Linked DNA regions of Stegostoma tigrinum. The protein of the gene in region 1 purifies or fractionates together with the protein of each later gene. This does not show direct contact. Links are inferred from orthologs where the notes say so. Each region holds a gene or a part of one and is shown in the gene's direction. Other genes may lie near its edges. The genes, in order: fbxl17, zbtb18 and zbtb10.

Region 1 (7,430 bases):
GCCTTTGTCCCAGAAATCAGTCAAGTGAACCTTCACTGAACTACTTCTAGTGCAATTCTATTCTTATTGATGTAATACAACCAAAAGCGTACACGGGACACCAGCTGCAGCAACGCTTCCTGACTTTTACATATACTTGTCTTGTAATAAAAACTAACATTCCATTTGCCTTCTTAATCATTTGCTTCACCTGCACACTAATACCATGCGATCACAGATCAAGATATCCAGATCCCTCTGATCTGTCAAGTTCTGTGGGCTCTCTTAAATGAAGTAATGTCTTTTATTTTTCCTGCCAAAGTGTACAATTTCACACTCTTCTACATTATATACCATCTGCCAAATATTTGCCTCTTCATTTCACTCATCATCCATTGTCATCTCTTTAAGTCCCCTTGACAAAATACTCTTGCCCATCTTTCTGTCAACAGAAAATTTGACTACAATGCAGTCAATACCTTCATCAAAGTCATTAACGTAGATTGTAAATAGTTGAGCAAATAAAAACCAAATGAAGATGCTGTGAAAAATTTCTGAGGAAGGGTCACTTGCGCTGCAATGTTAACTCTGATTTCTCGTCACAGATGCTGCCAGACCTGCTGAGCTTTTTCAGCAATTTCTGCTTTTGTATCTAATCTCTGTGGCACTCTGCCAGTTACGACCTGCCAAGAATGATCTATTTACCCTTGAACAATCCTCTGTGCATGCTAATCAATCATTCTGACCACCATGAGTTCTTATTTTGTGCAGTAAAATATGATTTGACATTTTTTGAGATCTAAGTACACGTCTTTAACGACAATGTTTGTTACTTCCCAAAAGGACTCTAATAAATTAGTTAAAGATGATTTCCCTGTAGACTCTGCTTGATTAACCTATACACAATTGTCCATAAAACACAGGAAACAGGAGGAGGCCCTTCAAGCTTGCTCCCCCATTCAATATGATCGTAGTTGATCATTCAATTTAGTATCTTCTTCCTGATTTTTCACCATACACTTTTATTCTTTTAGTTCTAAGAGCTATAACTAACTCTTTCTTCAAAACATTCTTAGTTCTTTACTGTTAGTTGCACTCCCTCAAAAGCCACAGCATCCCTCCTCAGATAAAGAGACCAAAACTGCACACAGATTAGAAGACAGGGAAAGCTCAGTTTGAAGGACCCCACTGCTACATATATTGAAAATCCACTTCAATGTATTTAACTAAATCTGCGTAAGGCTATTTGTCTAGCCAAAACTACCATATCTGATGGAAAAGACAGGGAACATATCTACCAACCAGTGACAGAATTTCATTCACAAGGCAACCTGACTAAGGAACTAACTACAATGCTCTAGAATAAAAAGGCTTTTTATCAAAAATTGGATTACAATGCATGTGGCAGAAGTTTGATTTGTTCTACAGTCATCCTGATTTAAAAGACTTTTCTCTCTTTGCCAGGAAAATGGTCAGTAGGTAACAAAATAAACGATCAAGACATATATGTTTTTTATTAAGAGCACAACACGTGCAAGAAATGAGCCTCTAATACTTGGGGACTTACATTTTAAATGTATGAAGAAAGCATAGTTGAGTTATTAATCCTGTTCACCTCACTATACACATCCACCACTGCAAAGTCAGCTCTGTCCACTTTGTTGAGAGTCATGTGATTTACTGGAGCAATTTAAGAGATCTTATGGATATCGCCAAACAAGGTTCAGACACTCAATGATTCAAATTTCTCCAAACCTTTTACAACAAGTTCACCATTTGCAGGAAGGTATCTTTATTTATCAAAGTGTCAGCAGCATCTTTAGAGACAAAAGCATCTTTATGTTTGCTTGCAATCCAAATCCGAATATGTTTTTACTTATTTTTGCGTTTGAGTAGGAAGTGACTTCTAGCAGCTAATATCTCATAGATCAATGTTTTCACACCACCTGTGCATAGACAGTTGCTTCGAAGTAATTGAAAGATCTGCAAAGAATGGCTTGTAATGTATTATGCACCTTGTAAACGACTGTCAGTATCTGACAGCGCCTCTCATCCACCTTCCTGCAAAAATGTCACCCCCTAATCCCAATTCCTGCTCCTGAGATGAGGCATTCCACTCCTGGACATGCCAGATATCCTCGTTTATCAAGGACTGCAACTTACCCCCCACTACGGTCAAGAACGCCATTGACCACATCTCTCACGTTTCCCGCAACCCATCCCTCACACCCCCTTCCCGCAATCACAACCAAAACAGAATCCCCCTCATCCTCACGTATCACCCCACCAATCTCCGGATCCAATGCATCATCCTCCAGCACTTCCGCCTGTGCAATCTGACCCCGCCACCAAAGAAATTTTTCCCTCCCAACCCTTATGTGCCTTCCAGAGGGACAACTCTCTCCGTGACTCCCTTGTCCGCTCCACACTCCCCACCAGCCCCACCAACCCAGCACTTTTCCCTGCAACCGCAGGAAGTGCTACATCTGCCCCTACACCTCCTGCCTCACTCCCATCCCAGGCCCCAAGAAAATCTTCCACATCAAACAGATGTTCACCTGCACATCTGCTAGTGTGGTATACTATATCCGCTGTTCCCGATGTGGCCTCCTTGACATTGGGGAAACCAAGCGGAGGCTTGGAGACCACTTTGTGGAACACCTAGACTCAGTTCACAACAAACAACTGCACCTGCCAGTTGCGAACCACTTCAACTCCCCCTCCCACTCCTTGGATGACATGTCCATCCTGGGCCTCATCCAGTGCCACAACGATGCCACCTTAAGGTTGCAGGAACAGCACCTCATATTTCACTTGGGAACCTTGTAGCCCAACGGTACCAGTGTGGACTTCACAAGCTTCAAAATCTCCCCACCCGTGAACGCATCCCAAAACTAGCCCAGCTTGTCCCCGCCTCCCTAACCTGTCCTTCCTCCCATGTGTCTGCTCCTCCCACTTCAATTCCCACTCCCACCTCCTACCAACCAGCTTCATCCCTGCATCCCTCACCTGTCCATCTTCCCCGGACTGACTAACTCCCACCCTAATTTCCCATCTACACTCACCTTTACTGGCTCCAACCCTGCCTCTTTGACCTGTCCGTCTCCTCTCCAACTATCTGATCCTTTAACCATCTTCCATCCGCTTTCCCTCTCTATTTATTTCAGAATCCCCCTCGCCTTCCCCTCCCCCATTTCTGAAGAAGGGTCCAGATCTGAAACGTCAGCTTTCCTGCTCCTGGGCGGCACGGTGACTCAGTGGTTAGCGCTGCAGCCTCACAGCGCCAGGGACCCGGGTTCAATTCTAGCCTCAGGGGACTGTCTGTGGGGATTTGCACATTCTCCCCGTGTCTGCGTGGGTTTCCTCTGGGTGCTCCGGTTTCCTCCCACAAACCAAAGATGTGCAGGCTATGTGGATCGGCCATGCTAAATTGCCCATAGTGTTCAGGGGTGTGTGGGTTATAGGGGGATGGGTCTAGGTGGGATGCTTCAAGGGGCGGTGTGGACTTGTGGGGCCGAAGGGCCTGTTTCCACACTGTAGGGAATCGAATCTAATCTAATCCTCTGATGCTGCTTGGCCTGCTGTGTTCATCCAGCTCCACACCTTGTTTATCTCAGATTCTGCAGCATCAGCAGTTCCTAATATCTCTGTCAGTATCTGACACTTCTATCATCTAGACAGTGAGTGATTACAAAACGATTAAGTTTAACATGGTCTGGGAGTTGAGCGCTCCCACAAAAGGGAATCCCAGGACGTACAATTTTTAAGAGATAAATTTTCTGGAAAATTAGAGAAGTTGAATAGGTATAAACAGGCAGAAAACGGCGGAAAATCTCAGCAGATCTGCCAGAATGTGTGGAGATAGAAAGAATTACTATTTCGAATCCACTCTGTTTCTTCTGAAGTTCCAGTATTTTGCTTTCATTCGACCACGAAAAGTTATGGGTGAATGATATATTTCAAGATGTCACGCTGAAAATACAGAAAGAAAACAATATCAGACGAAACAAATGTGACCGAAAACTAATGAACACAATAAATACAATACAAAAAGGGACAGATTCTGCAGAGAAAAAGGGATGAGAGTCACTGGAGTGATGAATATAAACGCAGAAACATATTAACAGGAGAAGGGAGAGCGATTGAGAACAAGGTCGGACAAAGATCTTGATCTAATTTTAGGAAACAAACAGCTGTCGGGTCCTCTCAGTCACCAGCTCGAAGATTCTCACCTGACAACAGCAGCAGCAGCAGGTCACCATTATTAAAGCTCTGTCCCACGGCAATGCTAACAATCGCCTCACGGTAGGTCCCCGCTCAGCGGTTGATCACTGCGCGGCTGGGATCTGATTAAAAGGCGGGATCACCGAGTGACGTTCGCTGATCGCCGCCAATGAGGCGCGCGGACGGTTTGAGCCGGCCTCTCAGTTGAAGAATGAGGCCTTGTACAGCCGGAAGGTCTGCATCAGTTTATATTCACTATTTTTTTTCCAATAAGTAGTAATTGTTTATATTTTCTAGGGGGAAAAAAAACACACACACAAGAATGATGACGTCTCTGTGTTTAAGTATGCAAACGTGTGAAGGCGGTAGGAAGGAATAGTCGCCGGTAGGCAGCACGCTTCTTCCTGTTATTTACAGTTTGCGAGACAAACACTGGGCAGCTGAGGCCTTGTTTGAAATGAGTATGTGTGAAGCTGCATATTGGAGCTGGAATTTAGGAAGTCGGAAATGCTGCTACAGTCCTAGTCTCACATTGGGACAGTAGAGGATGGAAACTCTTTACAGGAAGCAGTACAAGTGGTTTTGAGTACTGAAATATTATGGAGATATTAAAAATTGATCATGTTTTTAATCTCGCATTCAATTTACAGTCAATAATCAGATTGTTTTGTTAAACCCTTCACTTAATCTATAACCATTGTGATTTGAATAAAATGCCCTCTGACATTCTTCCGCAATATAAATAGCGAATAGGGAAAATGTACAAGATGTAAAGAAAACCTCAGGTCACGTTAAATCTATAATATAAATGCATTTTGAATTTTATTAAATACTAAAAGGACAATTTGAAATATTTTTTCAATGCATGTGTTTGTTCAATGCACAGTAGTTACATTTTCAATTCTGGTTTAATTACACTTACATGAAATGGTCCTGTTGGGTTATAATTAGTTTCCAATCTTGCATTTTTCATTATTATTTACAAGTGCAGTGATAGTAGCCCAGAGCTACATAAAGTGTAATGGTTTGGTTCTCCATGGATAAGAGGTTTTGTCTGAAGTTGCACTGACATTTCACCATGTACTATTCCATCTAAAATCAGTAATTTCACACAAGAAAGTGGAACTAAATTATTTTTATTTTGAAAGATTGTGCAATATCACAGGGCTTGAGTCAGTCAGGATTGTTGATTTTTTTTTGTGGTTAGAACTACCTTTAAAGTTTATAGATACATGTTTACACGGATGACTTCATGTAAATAATTCTATCAATGTCCTTTTTAAACAGTGATGTGATTAGTTCATAAGACTAATATTCTTGTAAATACAATTTATACAAGTGAATTATAAATTAAGAAAAACATCCAGAAACACTTCAGAGTTAAGGGACAAATTAGATGCAACATCAAGGGGGAGATATTTGGAAAGAGCATCAATCTGCTTGGTCCGATATGTTAAGTCTTGGCGGACGATACTGTATTTGTACAAATGAAGGAAGGGGATAGGCACCAAAAGGTATTATCAGAGGAACTGAGAATGGGGTGAGGTTCATAGATTGAATAAAATTGTTAAACTTAAATTATTGGGAGATGTAGAGTCAGTGTGTGTTGAGGATAGGTGTGTTGGTCATGGTGGATGATTGAGTACAAGTAGTGAATTTGTGGGTATGTGTTGATTTTAGAGATTTTTTTCTGGAATGGAAAGCTCACAATTAATTGAGTCTAGAGCTGATAAAGGCTTAAATCAAGGTTTCAATAGCAGATAAGTCTTAAGAAAGAGCAGTAGGTTGAGGCTTTTCTGCCCATTGAACCTACTATGCTACCTAGTATGAGTATGACTGATCTGATGAACCCACCTCCCTGCTTGCACCTGTTACCTTTTTTGAGTCTTTGTTAACAAAAATCTATCTCACTCAACCTTGAAAATGCACAATGACACGTTCTCCAGTATTCTGTGGAGGAGCATTCCAAAAAATATGATCTCTGCGAGAAGGAATTCCTCCTTTAGTTTTAATGGGAAATCTCTTATTTTTAAAGTCCGTCCCCTACTTCTAGTCTTCCCCACAAAAGGAGGCATTCTTCCAGCAGTAACAGCGTACATCCCCGTCAGAATCTTATGTTTAAATAATATTACCACTTATTCACTCCAATGACTATCAGCGCAATCGTTCATCCTTTCTCCATGAGTCAACCCATTCACCCCAGAAACCAGCCAAGTGAACTTTCTGTGAATTGCTTCTAATGCAAGGGAAACTCCTAGAGATAGGAAATAACTCACCACAGTACTTCAGCTTCAGACTCATCAATGCACTGTTGCAGTAAAATTCCTTCCTTTTACTATAAAATGTTGGTGGGTAAAGGCTGACATCAAATTTAACTTAATAATTACCTCTGCCGCTGAAGATGGGTGGAAGAGATGTTTTTGCTTTGTTTGCTAGTCTGTTTGTAAACAATATATGTCAGAAACTACTGAATGATTTTAACAAAACTTGATATACAGATAGAGTTAGCACAGGGAAGAGCTATTACATTCAGATGGGAGGAAAAGAAAACTGGTAACAGGAAGTTATTGGATATGGCTTTAAGCAAACATTTTGGATTAAGTAAGACCCAGATCTTTGCTGTGCAGCATTCTGTAGTGTTTCTCCATTTAAACAATGTTCTATTTCTCTTTTCTTCTGGCCAAAGTGAATAACCTCAAATTTTACTACATTATTCTCTAGCCAAATATTTTCCTAACTGATGTCATCAGTATATATATCCCTTTGCAGATCCTTTGTATCCTTTTCACAACTTATTCTGCTGCCTATCCTTTGCATTATCAGCAAATCTGCAGATAATATAGTTGACTTCATCATCCACTTCGTTAATACTCGTAAACAAACAGTTGAGTCCCACCTCTGATCCTTGCGACCCTCCAGCATGCCAGCCTGCAAGTGACTGCCATTTTTCAGAATCTATCTTTGTTAGCTAATATGCTGAAAACATTAATATATCATCCCAAGCAAAATGGATTTTTATCTTGTGGCAAGGTATTAAAATGATTTTGGTAAACCGTCATGTTTACTGGTGTCTGTTTTTCCACCTTGCTTAATACTCGGTGAAATTTTTCAAAGCGGTTGCATAAATTGTTCAGATGTTAACTTCCCTTTCACAAAGCCATGACATTCTACTCGATTTTCTATCTGTCCTGCGTCTATCTTAGTAATAGATTCTTGTATTTTAATAT
Region 2 (6,959 bases), on another chromosome or scaffold:
TGTGTATGCATGGGTTTCCACCGGGTGCTCTGGTTTCCTCACACAGTCCAAATTTGTGCAAGTTCGGTGGATTGGCCATGTTAAATTGCCCACAGTGTTCAAAGATGTGCAGGCTAGGTGAATTAGCCATGGTAGTTTGGGTTTGTGGGATAAGTCAGAGGGTTAGGTCTGGGTCTGTTCTTTGGAGGGTCGGTGCAGACTTGATGAGCTGAATAGCTTCTTTCTGCACTCTAATGATTCTGTGAATACAGGTTGCTGCTTTGATTAGCGCCTCTTTTAAATACAAAAGCAAATTACCATATATTTAGCTTCTTTCTTGTTTTATAGCCCATTCAATTATCTTTGTTAATTTCCAGTGGTGAGATTCATATTGCTCATTTGCCTTATAAGTCTCTCCACAACAAAATAAACGAAAGAAATGATACCAGGCGGTATGGTTGCCCATGACTTATAAATGCAAACAAAATGGCTTCATAAAATATCCTGGGCCTGTAAATTCAGCCTTCATTCTTTTCACTTTATCCGATGAAAGTTGGACTTGGCAGTAGCATTCCCCTGACTTCTCTTGCAGGAAAGTAAAAGGGCACAGCATTGCATCCTGGCACTAGCAGCTGGGAATAGCAACCGAGCAGGTCAGATTACTGTATGATAGGCAAAAGCCTTGAGGTAGGAGGAGAATGGAACTATGACTTCACTGATTAGGGTTTATGGATATGACAACGTGATGGTGGGGTGTGTGGTTCATGGAATAGTATAAATTAAATTCTGAACATGGTTTTATACATTGGTTTTGTTCAATTAGATTGTTTTGTTATTTGTTCATTTAAGTTATACTATTGAGCTTTTGGGATTTAAATAAAAACAGATTGAAACTTGTTAACAATTTCAAAATGCTTATATCTAGGCCTCAAATTATTAGGAAGTGTTATAATCATATTAGTGTATTTAAAATCATCATAACACATTTATTCAGAAATATTGGCACAATTTTCCTGAGCAGCACGGGCTTTTGTTTTTGTTTTGAGGTTTTCCACTACCTGAACTTTTTTTTAAAATCTAGCTAATGTCCTGCATTAAAACTTTCCACAAAATGTCCTTCACAGTATTTGACTTGTGAAAATAACTGTTTGTTGCATCAAGAAACAAATAAACTTAGGTTTATTTAGTATCTGTAGCCCACAGACGTGTAAGCAACTGCTGATCACTAAGACCAGGGATTTTGTGCACAGATAAGTTTGGCACAGATGGAAAGACAGCACAGTTGGCACAAATGGCACAGCTGGCATCAATGGCACTGATGCACAGCTAGTACCTTTGGCACAATTGACAGTGTCAGTGTAGTTGGCACAGCATGAACAGCTGGCACAGAAGTATTACAGCTGGCAGTATTGGCATAGTACAGTCTTTCTCCCCCCATCAATTCTTATACAACTTTGGTAAGGTTTGACTTCATATTGTTAGTACTTTGTGTTAAATAAACATGTCTGTTTAGTTTCATGCTTCCTAATTCTGCTATTTTTAAAGTATCTTTATTGTCCTTTATCTACAATCTCAAAAGCTATACATGCAAAGTCCCAAATTGCCTAGAATGTTAGTGTCCTGCAATTTTCATACATTTTTCCACCTTAGTGGAATTGGATATTTCCAATTTTCACATTTAGTACAGATTGTGATGATTTATTCATTTTCAACATGTATACATATTCAAATGAAAATGACAGAAAGCTTGCTAATTCCATCGATCAATTGCTTCCCAAAAGCCCCCCATTCCTTCAACTAAAAATTTAAATGTGATAACATCATATGAAATTTGTGTTAACCAGCTTGGAGGATGGGAGGCTTCAATTAGTAGCATCTGATGAGAACAGAAAAAAAAAGACTCTTGCATGCCAAACTCATGTTGCATAAATAAATGCCATTGAAAATTTTCATTGCCCTGAAATTAACTCTTAATTATTAAAGCAAATAGCAAGTGCAGGTTGGTCTGGAACACAAGCAGTCTAAAAATTGACTGTGGGTCACAAGTTAAAGACTGAGGTCTGTCTGTCCTAGTGCAGATTTGCCTCAGTTGGGTGAGTTTTGTTAATTCTCAGCTGGATTCATCCAACAGATTACTATTCTGAGAGGGGAACACAAAAGCTGGTTATTAGGCCTATTGCTTCAACTGTGTTGTTTGTTATCAATCCTGAATGTCATTGCCAGTGGCCCTGGTTAAATCTGCAACCAGGAAATTTAATCTAGTCGCCTTAATTGAATGAATTTCGCCATTATATCTGAGCTACAGAAATACTGCACACAGAGGGTGGTTATTTTAGACAGGGCAACTGGTGTCACCAAGACATAATTGTGCCTCCTGAACACCAGTAACAGTAATCTCAGAACAAATTTTAAAGCAAAGTCACGTTTAAAACCTGGGCAGTTTTGGAGTTCTAGTTGAAAGAGGCATATGCCGTCGACAAGGTTTGAAAATTTAGAGAAGTCTTTGAAGAAATATAATTTTTCGAAAGACAGGGTACATGAACTGCAAGCCTCCAGTACTGGATTGACCGACTTACATCTGTAAATATTTGACCCTATATTTTGAGTTTTGTTCTCCCTTTTATGTTAAAATATGAAATATTTTATATGCAATATTTCAACATATTCTGAAATCTTACCTCTGCAGGTTTACTTATAGTTTGCACATTATCATACGCAAACTTTTAAAGTTTTGACCTTTTAGTACTGAAAAGATTTTTTTTCAATTACGCTTCCGCTTTCACAAAACCTTGCCTTCAAAGCTTTTGCAACTCTTACTGGCTTTACAGATCGGGCTGGCGATTGCGCATCGGGAAGGTGATCACAACTTGATCCTCTTCCCCCGACGCCACGAGGACTACAACTCCCGAGATTCATTCCAGCCTCCTCCCCGCCCACCCTGCCACCACCTTCTCGCCAACGTCCGAAGACGCGCAAATTCCCCCTTTTGCTGGCTCACGGTTACTCCGAAGCAAACCCTGGGCTGAAAGCGGAAACCCCGCCTACTTTCCGACCCGATTGGCTGGCCGGATCCTGGACTTTCTGGGGGTTTTTTTTCGGAAGGTGGCCGGACCGATTCCCGGCGCTTTTTGTGGTCGGCCTAAGACTTCAATGAAGACATGATGTCAGCCACACTTCCTCTGTCAAGGTAGGTAATGAGCACGAAATAGCAACAGCTCTCTAACATCTGGGCGCACTTGTCCCCGGCGCCCTGTCTATCTATCTATGTATATGTCGATCTCTCTCATGAAGTCCTGAAAGTCATTGGCTCCTTCCTTCCAACACCCCCCCCCTCTCCTTCAGCAATCCCTCCCACCATCTCCTCCTACTTTGTACTCGCTATTCCCGCAGGCAGAAAAGTGCCCCCTTCTCTTTTTTTAATATATTGTTGCTTCCTGTGAGTATCTCAGAGAACCAGATCCTCCTGGATTTCCTCATTTTAAAACAACTCCGGCTTAGAGGAAGGGGAGGGGAGACACAGTGTTGCCAGAAGCGGCGCGGAGTTACAATGTTTCAAAAATGTTACTCTTCACTACCCCCCGCCCCGTCCGCCTTCCCGAGTTGTTGCGCCGCGTTGTTGCTGGTAACCATTCACACGCTGGCGGTGGAACGCCAGCCCAGATCGTTCCATCGGACCAGAGGCGGCGGCGGCGGCGGTGGTGGCGGCTGCAGCCTGTTGTTACTTTATTTTTTTTCTCCCCACACTATGTGTGTGTGTGTGTGTTGTGGTTTGACTGCCGTCACCATGCATTGAGGATCTCTGCTGCTGTTCTTGCTGCAGCAACATTTAACAGGTCGCCCTGTAGCGTTTTTTTCTCTCTCTCTCTCACACACACACACACACACACACACACACAGCGGCCGCAGTTTGTGTCATTTCAAGTGAAGTGAATATATTTGGAAACATAAATAAAATAAAGGGAAGGGCGAGCAGAAAGGGGGCTTAGGGCTGGGTGGTGAGAGAGACACTGTCTGGTACTTTATTTGGAGGGGGGATTTTTTTCCCCCTTTTTTGTAGCAGATAATGTATTCAAACGTGAGATTGGTGGCAGCAGCAGCAAACACGACACGAGTAACATATGGCATTAAAAAGCAGCACAGCTGGAGGTAGCATTTCCATTTGAAGTGATGTCAGAGCAGCTGACAGTCTGGCATTGCTGGGTTTTTTTGTGTGATCTTGCTCCGTGTGCCGGTATCATTCCTCTTCAGTCTGCTTTTTTAAACTTGACAGACCGGAGTCACAAAGATTTAGCGCACCCTTGAAGGTGTTCTTTTAGAGGGATTGGTCACGAGAAGTTGGTCTGTTTTTATTCCTGTTGCAGGTATGGGGGGGATTCTACCCTTTTTTTTGCAAACCCTGCTAGGAATTTTGTATGATATTATATGTGCTTGTTTAATTCAGAGTTGACAGATCATTGTTGAGTGCAAGCTAATTTTTTTCTTAAGAGTTGTGGTAATAGTGACTAATTTGGGATTCGCAGATTGCGACGCGTGGAATTGCCCAGACAGCTGTAATCGCACTCCATTCTTTAATCTCTTTATCTGGGCAGCAGCTGCCATATGGCCATAGTCATCTGTATCAGATGTTTATAAGCTTCGTTTTCGTCCTGTCTCTGTCCTTTTAGGCATCTAATTTGATCAACAGTACCTTACTGACTATCATGTAATCTTTATTTTTAGCCATTTTAAGGATTAGAGATGGGGACACAGGGCACTTAATGTGATTGAGTTTGAGTTTTGTGGCAGTTTGCGTGTTTTTTTTCTCCCTCTTGTACGCGCTAATAGAGCGAGAACAAAATAATTTCTTGTTAAAATATGTTTTCCATTGTGTTAACTTTTATCTGTAGCATGCAGTATGCTTTAGGGTTTTACTACTCCTGTTTTATCTATTTCTACAAATGTTAACAAACTTTGTCTGCTACAGGTTATGAAGACAGTATGGAGTTTCCAGACCACAGTAGACATTTGCTCCAGTGTCTGAGTGAGCAAAGGCATCAAGGTTTCCTTTGTGATTGCACTGTCTTGGTTGGAGATGCCCAGTTTCGAGCCCATCGTGCTGTGCTTGCTTCGTGCAGCATGTACTTCCACCTCTTTTACAAGGACCAGCTGGACAAAAGGGACATTGTTCATCTGAACAGCGACATTGTTACAGCCCCAGCTTTCGCTCTCCTCCTTGAATTCATGTATGAAGGGAAACTCCAGTTCAAAGATTTGCCTATTGAGGACGTACTTGCAGCTGCGAGTTACCTTCACATGTATGACATAGTGAAAGTCTGCAAAAAAAAGCTGAAGGAAAAATCAACTACAGAAGCGGACAGCACCAAGAAAGAAGAAGACGCTTCAAGCTGTTCTGATAAAGGAGAAATTTCTTCAGTGAGCAGTGCACATATAGTGGGGGATCTGGCAAGCGAGGAAGATGAAACTGAAGAGGAAAAATCAAGTGCTGTGTTGAGCAAAAGGGACATAGTTATTGAATCTGGGAACATGTGGATGAGATTGCCCTCTGACTCAGCAGGCATCACTCAGCCTGGCGTTGAGGTTGAGGCACATGCAGTAACAGCTGGAAAAACAGTGTCCAGTCCCTGCAGCTCAACAGGCCCTTTGTCCCAAAGGTCTGCCAACTCCATTAAGGATTCAGCAGATGTTGACTGTGTGCTGGATTTGTCTGTCAAGTCTGGACTGTCAGGGGGAGAAAATGTCAGCCACCCTTATGTCTCTCCACATGGGGACAGTTCCAGAAATAACTTGGTGCAGGTTAAAGTAGAAAAAGAAGTGTTTTCCGATGAAGAAGGCAGCAGCACTAATGATTTTGATATGGAACAAAGTAGCACAGTGAAAGACAGTGCAGGCACTATGAATAGGCTTTGTTACGATTCACTCCATATGTCCGCCAGAAGAGAAGCTTCTGTGTCAAGCGAGATGGACCGAGAGGATCGAGCCAGCGATGATGAGATGGTAACCCCAGAGAATGACGGAGCCCAGATGGATGCAGGCATGGACAGCAGCTTGCTCCCTTACTGTTCTAATATACTTGGCTCAGCCGGCCAAATCTTCATGTGTCCCCTCTGCAACAAAGTCTTTCCTAGCCCACACATTCTGCAGATCCATCTGAGCACGCACTTTCGAGAGCAGGATGGCCTCCGCAGCAAGCCTGCCACTGATGTAAATGTTCCCACCTGCTCGCTGTGTGGGAAGACTTTCTCGTGCATGTATACCTTAAAACGACACGAGCGAACTCATTCAGGTGAAAAGCCATACACTTGCACTCAATGTGGGAAGAGTTTCCAGTATTCGCACAACCTGAGCCGTCACGCAGTTGTTCACACCCGGGAAAAGCCTCATGCATGCAAGTGGTGTGAGCGCAGGTTCACGCAGTCGGGTGATCTGTACAGACACATTCGAAAATTTCACTGTGAGCTGATAAACACACTCTCTGTTAAAACGGAATCACTTAACTTGCCTGCGATGCGTGACTGGACCATAGAAGAGAGCTCGCAAGAACTCTGGAAATAAAGTCTACCTGTCAAGCAGTCTGAAAAATCAAGTTTCTGGTAATCTCTTCTACAGCCTTTTGGGTACTGAATTCTCTCCATACAATAATAGCCGTAAATACTGTTTGTCAGAGCACAATCTACAAAGTGAGATTGTGAATCATATTGCAACATAAGGTAAATAAGAATTAACTATTAAACGCAACACTTATTTAATAAATACTCTAATTTTCTTTTCAAATGCACTCCTGCAGCTGTTGAGTGCACTGCAAAGGATGCTGCTGTATAGTACGTGAAGTTTCGTTGTTGAAATTTTCAACAATGAACCACTAATTCATTAAGGTTTTCATTGATATGTGTTAATATTTTAATGTTGCACAATTTCTGGATATTTAAAACATTTTTGTACAATGCTGTAAACAAGATAACTATGAATTTCTTTTCCATATG
Region 3 (7,691 bases), on another chromosome or scaffold:
CCCTTTATTCATTCACGGGATGAGGCCATCACTGATTATGCAGCGTTTATTGCCCATCCACAATTACCCAGAGACAGTTAAGAATCAACCAGAGATAGTAGGAACTGCAGATGCTGCAGAATCTGACATAACAAGGTGTAGAGCTGGATGAACACAGCAGGCCTTTAACCTGTCTGTCTCCTCTCCACCTACCTTCTCCTTTATCCATCTTCTATCTGCCTTCCCCTCTCTCCCTATTTACTTCAGAACCCCCTTCCCCTCCCCCATTTCTGAAGCAGGGTCTAGGCCCGAAACATCAGCTTTCCCACTCCTCTGATGCTGCTTGGCCTGCTGTGTTCATCCAGCTCCACACCTTGTTATCTAAGATTCAACCACATTGCTTTGGGTCTGGAGTCATATGTAGGGAAAACCAGGTAAAGATGGCAGTTTCCCTCCCTAACGGACATTAGTGAACCAGATGGATTTTTCCTGACAATCAGCAGTGGATTCATGGTCATTTTTAGACATTTTTGATTCCAGATACTTATTGAATTCAAATTCCACCATCTGCCACGGTGGGCTTCGAACCCAGGTTACCTAGGTTTCTGGGATGACAGTACAGTGATAATACCAAGTTCCTGGTTTAGGTACATCTACAATGTTGTCAAGGAAGCAGTTGAAGGATTTTGATCTAGCAACAGTGGAGGAACAATGATATAGTTCATGAGAATGGGCCCAGCACAAATTTTCCATTCCTAATTGCCCTTGAGAAGGTCATCATGAGCTGCAGTCATGAATTACTGCACTCCTTTTGGGGTGTACGTACACCAGGGCCAGGGGCAGAAATTATGCGCATCCAGCTCTGCTCCTGGCACAGCTCTTTGAATATGAGCACAGTAATGCCATCTCCAACCTGAACATAGTGGTTCTAACCCAAGCACAGCAGTCCCAAACCTCCACCCTGAGAACAAGTGACTCACCTCCAAATCCCAATTATTGAGGCATCTTGAACCCTACTGGCTAGGTCCTGAGGCACACTCAGTCTAATTAGAAATGGGGTTTCAAGACTTTGCCCCAGCACACACAGTCTAATTAGAAAGGGAGTTTCAGGACTTTGCCAGTTAACCCAGTTAGAGTAAAGGAATAGTTCCAAATCAGGATGGCATGTGGTGTGGTATGGGAGCTTGCAGGTGGTGTGCCCATACAGCTACTATTTTTGTCCTTTTCAGTGGTCAAGGCCTTAGATGTAGAATATGCTATTGAAAGAGGATGGGTGAGTTGCTGCTGTGCACTTGTAGATGGTACACATTGCTGCCATTGTACATCGGTGAAGAAGGGATGGTTCAGGTTTCCATATCAAACCTATTTCACTGTAATGGTGCACTGTAGAATATGGGGGCAAAAAGAGAATTCAAAGCTGAAGGTTATGAGAGTGGCTTGGTTTAACATATGACTGATGGTAGCTTTATTAATCCAAATAGACTGATATTTAAATTTCTAATTCACACACTAATTATTTTTTGATATATAGTGTGCCAACTGAAGCTTGAGGGCAGCTAAATCACTCCAGTTCTAATATTCCATGAGTCACAACATAAAATAAAAATACATTTCAAAGCAATGAGATTTTTTTACTTTTTCATTCAGGAAATGTGTATTTCACTGTCTGGGCTGACATTTATTGCAATTCAGAAGATCGTGCTGAGGTGTCTTCCGAACTGCTGCAGTCTATTTGTAAACCCTCAGTGCTGTCAGGGAGTTCCAGGATTTTGACTCAGCCACATTAAAGAAATGGCATTTTAAAATCAGGATGATGAGTGGCTTTGAGAGGATTTTGCAGGTGATGGTGTTCTTTTGTATGTGCACCCTTGTCATTCTCAGTGGCAGCATTCATAGGTTTAGAAAGATGCTACCGAAGGATGCTTGCTGAATTTCTGGAGTGCACCTTTTAGATGATACACTCAGCTGCTACTGTGCATCGGCAGTGGATTGAATGACTGTTTATATCATGCTATCAAGCAAATTGCTACATCTCGATAGAGTCAGGCTTCTTGAGCATTGTTGGAGCTGCACTCATCCATCTGTGTGGAGAGTATTCCACTACACTCCTTACTGGTGTTTTGTAGGACAAGCTCAAGGGAGGCAGGAGGTAAATTGTTCCCTGCAACTGATCTACTATTGTAGCTCCAATATTTTTGAGATTAGTCCAATTTGGTTTCTGGCCGATGGTTGTTATGGAGGATTCAGAGAATGGAAGCATCATTGAATGTCAATGAGTGATGGTTAGATTCTCTCCTGCTGGATATTGTCAATGTCTAGCAAATACTATTTGCCACTTGGCAGCACAAGCCTGAATACTGTCCAAGTCTAGCTGCATTTGGACATGAACTGCTTCATTATCTGAGGATTCATGAATGGTGACCAATTAAATATCTCAGGTTTTAAACAAGATTTATAAATAATTTCCTCATAAAAGGCAACTATTGGTTTATCATAAGAACATTTAATCAAAAATTTCAATCATCAGTTGACACGCACAGTAAGTAACATACAAGTATAAATGCTTATCCCTCTAAACATCCCCAAAATATGTGCATAGACACACACTTACTTCAGAAAGAAAACAAAAATCCAAGATCGCTGCTTCATGAAAAAAAAGCACGTTGGTCAATAAATTGAAGGCAGAAGAATAAAGCATAGAATGTTGTAGAGTGTGTTGCTCTGCAGGGTTGCCCTGAAGTCTTGCAGAATCTGTTTGCTCAGGAAATACAATTTTGAGATGTTTCTTCAATCTGTCCTTAAAAGAACAAATACGCTTTACTACTAACTCAATAAAGAGGATTTTGCAAAATGAGATAACAATGGGCAGCTTGTCCTTAGCTAGATTTTCTTCAACTGAGTTTATTTTTTGAGCAGATTTCCCTTCGACTGAATAATTCAGAAATGCCATCATAAGAAAGGTGGTAAAGAAAATCAAGGGAACTATAGACCTGTGAGCCTGACATCAATGGTGACCAAATTGTTGGAGGAGAATCTGAGGGACAGGAATTACATGTATTTCGAAAGGAAAGGACTGATTAGAGATAGTCAACGTTGTTTTGTGTGGGAAACCGTGTCTAACTTGATTAAGTTTTTTGAAGTGATGAAGAACATTGATAAAGGCAGAGCATTGGATGTTGCCTATGTGGACTTCGGTAAGGCATTTGACAAGGTCAACTAATTAACAAGATTACATTACATGCAACACAGAGCGAACTAGCCATTGCAATACGAAATTGACTTGAAAGTCAAAGACAAAGGATTTTGATGGAGGGTTGCTTTTCAGGCTGGAGGTCTGTGACCAGCAGTGTGCTGCAGGGATTAGTGCTTGGTCCACTGCTTTTTGTTACGTATATAAATGATTTGGATGTGAATATAGGAGATATGCTTTCAGATGACACCAAAATTGGATGCATCGTGAACGGTGAAGAATGTTACCATGGAGTACAATGGGACTGTAATTAGATGGGACAATGGGCTGAGAAGTGGCAAATGGAGTTGAATTTAGATAAATGTGAAGTACTACATTTTGGTAGGGCAAATCAGGGCATGAGTTTTGCACTTAATGGTTGGGAAGTACTGCTCAACAAAGAGACCTTGGAGTGCAGGTTCATAATTCTTGCAAAGTGGAGTCACAGGTAGCTGGGCTGGTGAAGAAGGAATTTGGTAGACACCTTCTTTTGGGTCAGTGCATTGTGTATAGGATTTGGGATGTCATGTTGCAGCTGTGCAGGACATTGGTTAGCCCATTAGGGTAGTAGGTATTTGGAACTCACCACCCAAAAGGCAGGTAGGAGCAAAATCCTGCAAGACATTTGGGAAACTTTGAGAGGAGCTTGAAATGCCAAACACACACAAGGGGAGGGAAAACATTGGATTTGAAAATAAGCAACTGAATTTGCTTGAGAAACTCAGCATATCTAGCAGCAACTGTGGAGAGAGAGAAAGCAGAGTTAGTGATTCGAGTCCAGTGATCTCTCTTCAGAACTAAGTGCTGACAGCACTTGAAACATTATGACTCCGCTTTCTCTCCCTCCACGGACACTGCTAGACCAGCTGAGTCTCTACAGGAACTTGTGCTTTCTTCGTTACTTCGGCAGAAATATTCTGTTTTGGGATCTTTCGTATTCCCGGTTCTTGGTTTCATTTCCGAACAGATGCAGATGTTTGTGACGTCGGGCCGAACGGCCACTTTTCTTCATCGCAAGCCGAGCCGTACCGCCACGGTCAACTTTTTCCTCATTTCAAAAGAGGAATGATTCTCGATTATAAAAATATCTGTGTGTACATAGTCACCGACACAGCTCCGTTGCCTAGTCGCAGATCAAGGCGACAAAACGAGACATTGGAGTTTGGTGGACAAGAGTCAAAATAAAAAAAACACCAGTGACCTCTCTTACACCTACAATATTAAATTTACAGACTTAAGACAGATGAGGGATGGAGGTAACTTGATAGAGAAGAAGAGATTTACCTACTTGCATTCCACATCGAAGTAAACGGCCGTGACCGCCGCCTCCTCCCCCCCATTGGCTGCTTGACCTGGAAGCGGAGCCCGGCCCTGAGGGAGGGAGACGGTGGTGGCAGCAGCGGCGGCGCGCGGTGCACTCTGGGAGCTTTGCCCGTTGGCGTCCGCTGCGTGTCTCGCGGACTCGGAGCCGCTGGCGCTGGCGGAGCGCGAGCGGCTTGGAGCCTGGACCGTGCACGAGGAGGAAGTGGCGGCGGTTGTGGTTGTTGTTGGTGGGGGGGTAGGACCCCCGAACAAAACAACATCTGGGAGGAGCTGGGGGTGTAGAAGAAACCGCCGTTCGGCACCTTCTCGGACCAGGCCTGTCCGCTCGCAACTTTATACCGTTCGTAATTCATCCGACCTCTCCGGAGTTTGGAGGAGGAGATTGAGGCTCTGGTTGGGGGGGTGGAAATAAAGAGGTTATCGCGGGAAAGGCAACCTCCTCTTCCACCACCCCCCTCCTCCTCTCCTTCCCTCCCCTCCGGCCAACGCTCGGATCAGCGACCCCTCCCGTCCCCTCCCTGATCCACCATGTCCGGCGAGAGGAACAGGCGATCGCTGGCTTTCCGCACCGGAGCCTCCGCCGTCAGGATCGACCCCGAGCTCGGGCCTCACCACCACCACCACCAAAACAACGGTGGCAGCAGTAGCAGCGAGGCCTCGAACGGGGCCTTCCCGTCCGTTAGTCCGACCAAATCGGCTGCCCTCCCTGTGCTGGACGGCGCCCAGGCCGAGGTCCCCCCGGCTGCGCCCCCCGCCGAGGAGGACTGGGTCGAGACGGTGGTGGTGGATGACGAGTACCCGGAGCAAGAGGTCTCCTCGGTGCGGGTGGTCGACGGAGGCTCAATCAGCAGCAACGAGTCCGAGGAAGAGGAGGAGGAGGCGGCGGGGGCTCCGCCGCCACCGGCAGACGGGGAGCTGGAAGGGATGGACGGGCCCGGCAACAAGGAGCGAGCCGCGTCGCCCGCCGAAGGAGCTGTGGGCCAGGAGGATGAGGAGGAAAACGGCGGCGGCTGCAGCCGGAGAGGATTCGGGCTGACTCTACTCGGCCGGCCGCAGTCCTTCCTGCTGCCCCAGCAGCGCACTTTCCAGAGATCGTGGCTGCAGGAGTTCCCGTGGCTTCAGTACGAGCAGGAGACGGGCCTTATGTACTGCTCCTGGTGCCTGCGGGCCAACAGCGGGGTGGGGAGCAACAATAACCGCAACAAGTTCGTGAAAGGAAGCCGCAATTACAGGCGAACCACGCTGCTGCGGCATCACCTTTACACTGAACACCGGCAGAATGACCCATCCGCTGCGGCCTGCATGGAGGTGAGTGTGACTATAAATCATACTGCAAAAGGCTTCCTCTCGAAGTGGGGGAGGGTAATAAGTAGCCATTGCTGATTCTGCGTTCATTCGGATTGCTGTGACTCCATTTACTTCAGACCGAGAGCGCTGATGGCTCTCCAGGTTATTCGAAGTTAATATTGACGTTAGGGTTTAGAATTATCTTTCCCTCTCGCCCAGTCCCATCCCCCAAACTCCTTAATCCATGTACACAACAGATTGAATTCAGTTTAGATTTATTGATTTGAACGGAATTTGATCTTGTACCCTGTTTACATGGCACTATGCCCCTTGAATCGGAACACAACACGGCGAGAGATCACATTACCGACCAATGCACGCTGTATTTGGAAACGGGCGAGAAATGCACGCAACAAAAAAAGTTTCTTTGTGAGTGGCAACTTTTTTCTAAGTTTTGTTTTCCTCGCACAGTCGTGATGCTGTCTGGTTTGAGAATTTTATTTTGCCTTGCGTTTTTCAGCTTGGTAAACAAAAATTCATTCCACTTTCTTAATTTACAAGAAAGAATTCTAGAATTTTGAGAGATTGTATAGCTGTATAGTGTAAAACTGTTAAGGTATATATTAAAATAGAATTTGGAAAAATAAAGAAAATATAGATGCTGGAAATCGAACAAAAACTGAAAATGCTTATATGTAGCAAGCTGTGTAGAGACAGTACACTATTTGGTATGTCAACTGTAAACCCTTCATAAAGATTTTGCAAAATGCCATTTTGAAAAGTGGGACAACATGACTGGCATGACAGTTTGGTTCAGTATGTAACTAATCCATTTTAATCTTCAGGGTAGTAAAAGTTCATAACAGATTTGGTTCTGCACTGCAGGTTCTAAATTAAACTTATCAAATATGATCGTTAGTGACATGAACCTCTGCTTCCTGATCAAAACATTATGAGCAATCAGACACTGGTGTCTTCTTGGAGAACATTCTCGAGCTACAAATTATCTGGTAAAATTTGCAAATATGACAATGACTAATGGTTTTATTCTTCATTCGAACTCTGTAATAGAGACATGAAAATTCTGTACCAGTTAATATCTTGAAGACTGTAAAATTGCAAGTTTCAGATGTTAGTTGGCTATAATCTATTCATCATGGTACATAAATTGGACTGTATTTGATTGAATTCAAAAGTGATTTGAAGCAGTTTGAACAGTTATCTTTTCGAATAATGCCAAGTCTGTTCAAACATAGGTTTGTCAGTAGTATTGATGGCTCATTGTGTCACGGGGCTCAAACTAATGTTGGAGAAAAATTACACATGCATCCATTGATAACTGGACCAGTTTTGTAAAAAAGATGGAACGTTTTTTACTGGATCTTAAATACTAATCATCAAATTGTGTAAAACCCTCTTTATAACATGTTTCTTGCTGTGACATGCCTTTTTTTTAACAACTCCCAAACACGGCATTGTGGAGAGGGTAATTTGAAAAGGCACAGCTGCCTTGCGAAAGGTATTGTACCAGTCTAGAAGAACTGACTGTCTCAAATTACTGTAATTGCATCTGTCCCAGATGAGCCCACTGTCAGTCAGTTACTTAGATTATCTGAAAGTCTTATTCCTTGATCAGTTGCTTCAGTTTTCTTCCAATGCATGTTTGTTTTTGCAACACTGCAGCTGAAAATATAATTGGGATATAGTTTAATAGGATAGTATTTATTAGATGTACTGGTGAAGTAGATGACTATTTAAAGATGACATACATTACGATGACTATTGAGTAACATGATGTATATCAAATAACAGTTCAGATGTTAAGATTCTAAGTGGTGAGTAGTGACTTAGGGCTCATTACTAGGATCCCACC

What was found.
Region 2: the proteins of fbxl17 (region 1) and zbtb18 purify together in Homo sapiens (co-immunoprecipitation; 3 studies listed by BioGRID and IntAct, with this or other methods). This does not show direct contact. The link is inferred for Stegostoma tigrinum from reciprocal best matches to the Homo sapiens genes FBXL17 and ZBTB18.
Region 3: the proteins of fbxl17 (region 1) and zbtb10 purify together in Homo sapiens (affinity purification with western blotting; 3 studies listed by BioGRID and IntAct, with this or other methods). This does not show direct contact. The link is inferred for Stegostoma tigrinum from reciprocal best matches to the Homo sapiens genes FBXL17 and ZBTB10.

What each region holds. Positions count from the first base shown.
Region 1 is NC_081356.1:80,972,685-80,980,114, forward strand, and holds the start of fbxl17 (F-box/LRR-repeat protein 17), read left to right. Parts: upstream 1-4,366; 5' UTR 4,367-4,437; intron 4,438-4,444; exon of another isoform or gene 4,445-4,588; intron 4,589-7,430. UniProt on the Homo sapiens protein: Substrate-recognition component of the SCF(FBXL17) E3 ubiquitin ligase complex, a key component of a quality control pathway required to ensure functional dimerization of BTB domain-containing proteins (dimerization quality control, DQC).
Region 2 is NC_081362.1:84,554,596-84,561,554, forward strand, and holds the start of zbtb18 (zinc finger and BTB domain-containing protein 18), read left to right. Parts: upstream 1-3,876; 5' UTR 3,877-4,097; coding exon 4,098-4,125; intron 4,126-4,139; exon of another isoform or gene 4,140-4,340; intron 4,341-4,367; exon of another isoform or gene 4,368-4,681; intron 4,682-4,942; coding exon 4,943-6,531; 3' UTR 6,532-6,959.
Region 3 is NC_081358.1:21,938,054-21,945,744, reverse strand, and holds the start of zbtb10 (zinc finger and BTB domain-containing protein 10), read left to right. Parts: upstream 1-4,884; 5' UTR 4,885-5,059; coding exon 5,060-5,839; intron 5,840-7,691. Other genes in the region: uncharacterized protein LOC125451549, read right to left, coding at 2,591-2,771, 4,493-4,884. UniProt on the Homo sapiens protein: May be involved in transcriptional regulation.